Mytilus edulis: one gene and its partner. Each later gene encodes a partner of the first gene's protein in a complex. Links are inferred from orthologs where the notes say so. Each region holds a gene or a part of one and is shown in the gene's direction. Other genes may lie near its edges.

The links. The genes of interacting proteins can lie anywhere in the genome.
Region 2: U5 small nuclear ribonucleoprotein 40 kDa protein-like (region 1) and ubiquitin carboxyl-terminal hydrolase 39-like share a complex: the UniProt entries of both Homo sapiens proteins name them as parts of the U4/U6-U5 tri-snRNP complex. The link is inferred for Mytilus edulis from reciprocal best matches to the Homo sapiens genes SNRNP40 and USP39.

The regions. Positions count from the first base shown.
Region 1 is NC_092355.1:11,840,366-11,844,125, reverse strand, and holds the start of U5 small nuclear ribonucleoprotein 40 kDa protein-like, read left to right. Parts: upstream 1-1,082; 5' UTR 1,083-1,181; coding exon 1,182-1,286; intron 1,287-3,760. UniProt on the Homo sapiens protein: Required for pre-mRNA splicing as component of the activated spliceosome. Component of the U5 small nuclear ribonucleoprotein (snRNP) complex and the U4/U6-U5 tri-snRNP complex, building blocks of the spliceosome.
Region 2 is NC_092352.1:16,013,250-16,017,009, reverse strand, and holds the start of ubiquitin carboxyl-terminal hydrolase 39-like, read left to right. Parts: upstream 1-1,010; 5' UTR 1,011-1,047; coding exon 1,048-1,654; intron 1,655-2,295; coding exon 2,296-2,359; intron 2,360-2,853; coding exon 2,854-2,948; intron 2,949-3,760.

The DNA.
Region 1 (3,760 bases):
GTTTTACTATAAGTCAAAAATGCTTTGAGCAATTTTCACGAAACTTAGAGAATCGTTTATACTTTAGTATATACATATACATATAATTGACACAATTTTCTCGTTCGATTTTAAAAACGAATCTGAATTAACGTTTTGGAGTATTTGAACTTTATTCATAAAAAAGGGGGAACTTTCCAGCTACCGGACAATAACTGAAAACAGTTTCCATAAAACTTTGGAGATTTATTGGTCTGATTTGACATAGCTGATTTATGAAACCTTGTTCGAAGAGCTAAAATAGTGACAGGTGCATCATGCGCAGATGGCGCAGCTCATTATGATAGACAGTTCTTGTTTCAGCTGTATATTATGATATGCTTTGTTATCTATTCTTATTCATATTATCTGCAGATGATGTCATAGTTTGGGTGATTTGTTAGATTTTGTTTCAGCGGTACTTAAAATGGCCCGAGAACACAGATATTCCGTAGTGCACTTCTTTTAGACAATAAATTCAAATTAAAAAAATCGAACCTGCTCTATCTCAATAAGATTGTTACAGTGTAGTGTTTTACTAAGTAGACAAATGATAACAAAGTTATAGAAAGTTCTACCAACTCTTACTCAAAATATTGACAATTCTGTGTTTAGGGGTTTAAAATTCAGTTTGATATATATAGCTTTAGACGTACTAATTTTTGACCTTTTTTTTACTGGATCAAATCACTACTTATCATAAAGATTTAGCACCCATTTTTTAACAGGCAATTTCATCCCCGTACTTAATATTTAATGCATAAATTATCAAGAAATAAAATGTTAAAATGTATCCTAAAAAATGGAAGTTGTATATCTACACTTTTCGAACTATATTTATCCTTTTCTTCTTTTTTTTAATATAATTTGGTCGAGTGTGCAGGTTTGTCTGTCTTAAGTGTCTGTATCATGTGAAATCAGAAAACATCTAAATAAGGTCGAGTTTATAAAAAGTGGACGAGTTTGACATATGTTGGTCGAGTAGGCCTAGGGCGATTTAATAATGGGACGAGTTGTTCATAATTGCGGCAGAGAAATCCCGGAAACCTATTCCGGCTGTGAATAAACTTTTAGTGTGGTCTGTACAACTTCCTTCTGTTCGGCGTGATTTTGTTGAAAACAAAAATACTCTTACATTTTCCCACTCCGTTGTTTAAATAACAATGGACATCAAACGAAAAGCAGGAGACAGTGCCATGGTCCCTTTTAAAAAGCCAAGAACAGATCTGGTAGCCTATGGGTCTCAAGAAAAATCAGTATTGCAGATGGTAATTGCCTATAAATTTTATTGCATTATCTACAGTGAACGAAGAAAAGGATCTGGGAGTAACTTTCGAGTCTAATTTGAAATTTGAAAAACATATAAGTGATATTTATAACAAAGCCCAAAGAGTGCTGTCTCTTATCAATCATTCTTTTGATTACATGGATCAAGATATGTTTCTTACTATTTATAAATCAATAGTTCGTCCACTGCTAGAATATGCGACATGCGTCTGGTCACCGTATCTTAAAAAAGACATTCGCAAATTGGAATCTGTACAAAGAAGGGCCACAAAGCTGTTAAAAAATAATTGTCATCTTAATTATGAAGACAGGTTACGTTCATTGGGTTTGCCAACTTTGGAATATCGTAGGGATAGGAATGATATGATACAAGTCTACAAAGCGTTGCATGGTATAGATGACATCGACTGGATGAGCCTATTTACTTTAGCACCATCTAATAATACTAGAGGTCACTCATTAAAACTTTTTAAAAAAACAGTGTAAGACCACACATAGACTAAATACTTTTTCAATTAGAGTAGTGGATCAGTGGAATAACCTGTCAGATTTAACGGTGACGGCAAAGACTCTGAATAGTTTTAAGTCTGCATTAAATGGCGTAAATTGGAACCTATATAAATTCATATGTTCGTGTTAAGTGTTTCAGCTGCGCACACCTAAATAAGTATTTTTTGATAAGTTTAATATATTATATATAAATCAATTACAAACGAAAGTGAACCAACGCCTGGTGAGTCTGTAGTACGGTAGAGTCCATAAAGTGGATACCCGAGGGTATGCAGGGTCGTTATGATAAAAACATAAAATGTAGAGAGTCTTATTATATATAAATATATTATAATGAGATGAGAAATCATATACGACAATCCAAGATGAGGGGTCAGTAGAAGCCTTTGGCTTATGTAACGACCCGAAGATAAAGGTATAAAGGTATAATTTCTGTCGTCCAATAAACCGGCTTTTTAAAAAAGTTTTATATTTAAGTTCTAACCCTTCTAAAGGGTTACCCTAGCTATTGACCCATGCATAGTATATTCTAGTCCCAGATTACTCTGAGCATGCTGAGGTCCTCAATCTTAAGGCCTATTAATATTTTAATTGTTATACATGTATGTATAACCGACTTTAAATAAATCTTTATTAAAAATGTAGCACAAAAAATTTGTCGCAAGGTGCAGATTTTCTCCTTTGCGCCAGACAAGCTAGGGCAAATCTGCTGTATGGTGTCCAAATTATTTAGCCTTACTGGACGCAATTACGACTGGACACGATTTTTAATGTTTGGCCCCTGATATTAATATTTATGCATGATAATTGATAAATGATTCTATTAATAAAAAATCCACTACATTACTTGTGTTTTCATGAAAAAAAAGTTCATGTGCAATTGGTTAATGTTGCAGACGATGAAAAATTCAATTTCTTAAATGTCAAAATAATTACTCCCTCTCTTAGAAATTGCATGAATAAAGCACACTAGCTAGTGCAAATTGCCTTCTTTTGTCTTAATATAGATAGAAAAATATCTCCTGAATCTGTTCATATGCGTGATGTTCTTAATCTTGTCCAAATAATCCAAAAATGAACGTTTTCTCAGACTCTCATGACCCTGGGGCCAGGGCATTGTCAGAAGAAAATAGTATTTTTAATAAAAAGTCCGGAGAACTCTGAAAGTAATGGTTAAATATAAATTAAAATCATAGGTTCACTAACTAAAAGGAGAATTCAGTGCATCTTAGACGAAACAACTTTCATAAAAACAAAAAAATCCAAAATACATTGTATTTCCTTTTTAAAGATTTTTTTTTGTCACTAATTTTGTCTGCAACTACTGCTGAAGAATTTGAAGTAAAATACCATATTACACTTCTTATTTTCTTAGGAAATGTGTTTAAGATAAGATTAATGTAGGTTTCATTAATTTAGATCGGTTGCCAGATCTATATATAAATATAGTGCCCTTCATAATTGCGTCCATATTGGGCTTGCTAGACCCATAAAACCAGGTCATGCAAATCTTACTAAAGTATCCAAACGTAAATAGAAAATTATGTGTGTTATGACTCAAAATGAAAGCCTTCATACATCTTTAATTCTATGGTACAAACAATTCACGAAAAGTATGCTACAAAGAAAAAAAAAATTTAAATTCAAAAATCGTTCGTAACTGTGTCCGGTGAGGCTAGGGACTAGGTATAAGATTATGTGAAACCATAAGGTTTAATTTTACTTTTATTAATTTATTTTTTTTGTTGTTTTTTTTTTACTTCTTGATGTACTCATACATGTACATCCTACATTTTGTATTTAATTCAAGAAGATGTAGCTTTCATTTTTAAATTGTACATCATGTACATGTAACAAAATAATAACTTGATACTTTCATGAATAGTTTAAATTTACATGGGATAAATCATCATAATTAACAAAAGATGAAGTCAAGAGCAAAAGT
Region 2 (3,760 bases), on another chromosome or scaffold:
CTGCATTGTTCCATTCGAAGGATTTAGCATTTAGATCACCTACCAATATTAAATTGTTTAAATTTTGTTGTTCAATATGTGTACAAAGCTTTTTCATTAACTCTGGTTTTTCTGGTGGGATGTACGGATGAAATGTTTTGTTTTTGCTGTCTTTTACCTCGATACTGACCATTTCAATGTCTTTTAGTTCCAAATGTTCCTGTCTTTGTCCTATGAAATGATTGCTTGGCTTTAAAAATATTGCAGATCCTCCCCTTGCTTTATTTGGTCTAGGTGATGTTATTGGTTTCCAATAACCAAATGAGAGTGGATTTTTTTCAGATTCAAAGGATTCATTAATACATAAGATGTCAACATTATATTTTTCACAAATTTCTTTGAGTCCAGTTGCTGTTTTAAAAGATTGAGTATTAAGGAAAAGGATTTTCATGTTGAATATATATATATGGTTAGATACAGTTTTTAAATTTATGTTGGTTGATAAATCTGATGAAGGCTGGACAGTGAGATGATGACGATTTATGATTTTGTTGACAGTTTCTACAGGTAGCTGGCTTTGTACAGAAAGTTTCTGAGCAGGAATTTGATCCACAGTTGTGACAATGTTTTTTGTCCTGGCACTGGTTAGCAGGATGGCCAAGACACTGACAATTATAGCATCTAATAAACTTGATGTTTCTTTTCTTTTCAACTTTGATTTTCTGAGTGATGTTATTAGAAACATTGGCAATTTCTATGTCTATATATATATTTTGTTCCACTTTTTTCTTTTTTTACATATTTAACTTTTATTCGTATTTGATGTTTTCTTTACAATAAGTAAACAGTTTACCATATTTAGTTATTTTGACACTTTATCGCTAATTCTTCTTCTTCTTCTTACGTAAATCCCTCCAATATTGGAGCACTTGGAAATAAATCCAATATAATTATATTGTTAATCGAGAACTAATACAAGGCAAAATCCGGTTCATAAATTCCGGAATTGGTTTACTAATTATCAGAATTATACAAATGCAATGACGTACTTCACATCCACATATCGGCATGGCGGCGAACGAACTGAGCACGAAATTAAAAAGTTCATCAAGAGCGATATTAAAGCGTACTCATGTACCAGAAACTGTCCAAGAAGACGATGACAACCCCATGAAATCAATTCTTAAAAAAAATAAAAAGCCAAAACTCGATTCATCTGTCGAAGAGCATTCAAAGGCACAACAAGAGCCTACACAAAAATCGGGATCTCGTATTGCCAGCCAGGTGACAGTTGTCAGTGACCAGAAACTAACAGACTCGTCATCTAAGGTTGAAAAATCTCCTAGTCAACAAAAAAACAAGCCAATTTCAGACAATAGACAGTCTGATGTAATCCAACCTAAAAGAAACGAAGACCCTTCAGATGTTGCTAAAAGTGGAATAAGTCCAGATAAAGCTGTAGGCAGTGAAAAATCAAGAAAAGAAGTAAAAAAAGAGATAACTGCTGCTGAAAAATCTGGAAAATCTGACAAAAAGAGTGAAAAGAAGGAGAAAGAGAAGGTGAAAAAAGGAAAGGGTACAGAATCCAAATCATCAGCAGATAAAAAGCAGTCACCAATAAAAAGTACAAGTAAAAAGACAACAGTGAAGATTGAAGAAGAAGATGAGGAAATAGGTATATTAAAAAGGTCTTTTATTGGTAAAACTTAAAAAATGATATATATATGGTAAGGGGTTTCATAACATCCTCATAAGGCTCCCAAAAAATTGTCTGTTTACGGTTACTCAACCCACCCTGCTTTCGAACTCTGACCCTTAGTCATTTTATTTCTGTTGTAAAGTGAAAAAGTTATTGAACTTAAACCCAAGTTAGACATTGCTTGAGTTGCCAATGAATGAATTCAATAGTCCATTTGCCAATTACCGATTTGATTCTGTTATTGCACACTTTTTAAACAAATTACTTCCCTTTGTCAATCGTAGACTGGTTCCATACCGGACAAAATTGGCTATTGCCAATGCAAAGCATGACGAATTGAAAGTTATGTATCAGTGGTATAACTAATTTTTCATGATTGATGTCAAATTTTTTTATCTTAACAACAAATTAATGTACTTAAAAGATCAGGAAACATTAAAGATTACTCACATTACACACAGGTAAATTTGCTCTTTCTGTTACATTGTAGCACTCCATTGTAAATAAAAATTAATGTCCCCCTGTCACACATGTTTATAGAAAGATTGATTGATTGTTGGTTGCTTTACTCTGCATGATTTATAGATAGATAATTATGATAAACATATATATTGTAGCGGCAATACAGGACCCTAAAGTTGACAGAAGCAGAATCTGTCCTTATTTGGACACTATTAATAGGTAAGAACAAATATTATTCTACTTTCCATAAACAATATTTTATGTCTAGAAGTGGCAAGAAAAAAAACAACAATCAAAATATTCAGGTGATTTATCTTCAATAAAAAAATCTATACAAAATTCATCATTTTGCTGATTTTAATTGAAGTATTGGTCATGTTTGTAAAAATTTACAATGTACTGTAACTTATTGATTTCAAATTTTAATGTTTTTGGTTGAATGCTGTCCAGAAACCATTTATATGTTCACTGTTGGACAAGGGTAATAATGGTATACTTTTCAAGTTCTTTGATTGATTTTCATGTTCATTGTTTGACTCTGGAGATGTGTTGAAAGACAGACTCAGCAGTAGTTGTTTATGAATTATTGAACAACTATTTCAAAATTGAATTGTTTAGAAGGGGAAAAAAATAGTAGTAATGAATGAGAAGCATAATTTATACTTACAAGATTTTAACACTACAGGTTTATATTGATAAATTTTTTGTTTTAGATCTGTTCTTGATTTTGACTTTGAGAAGTTATGTTCTGTGTCCTTGTCCCACATCAATGTGTATGCATGCTTAGTATGTGGAAAATATTTCCAAGGTAAGTTTAACACACTATTATTTATCATAAATTCATAATATATATACTGTAATAGCATTTAGAACCTTTACTATTGCATATGAGATTTAAATTACCAGTTTCAGTTCTTGCACAGAAGTCTGTAGTAGAGGGGATTCATTATCATTTTCCAGAATATATAGTTTAGTTAAAAGTCGAGTCTACTCTAATTTTCATTGCAAATTTATATGGGGACGAAGTCCCCAATAACAGTAGAAAATTCAATTAAAAAAAAAATTCGGGAAAATTTCCCGAATTTTTCATTGTACTAATGAACTCAAAATCGTTCAAATTTTTTTTGTCGTGTTTTGAAATCCCGGACCTGCGCGGAAATGTACAATGTACTTCCTTTTTCCGGTCTCGTTTGTATGAAACTTTGAGTAAAATATATATTTATCAGTCTAGTATAAAATAGGAAGGAACGCGCAATACCAATTTCATTTTTATGCCCCACCTACGATAGTAGAGGGGCATTATGTTTTCTGGTCTGTGCGTCCGTCCGTCCGTCTGTCCCGCTTCAGGTTAAAGTTTTTGGTCGAGGTAGTTTTTGATGAAGTTGAAGTCCAATCGACTTCAAACTTGGTACACATGTTCCCTATGATATGATCTTTCTAATTTTAACCCTTTCGCGGCGAGTGTATCCTTGAGGATACACAATGCGCAGGGCGGATGTATCCTTGAGGATACACGATGCGCAGGGCGAGTGTATCTTTCAGGATACATAAATATTGTCCCAATAAAAGCCGCAATTTTACGCTATTTGCCGTTCTTAACAGTTGAAATCAATGTTTCTA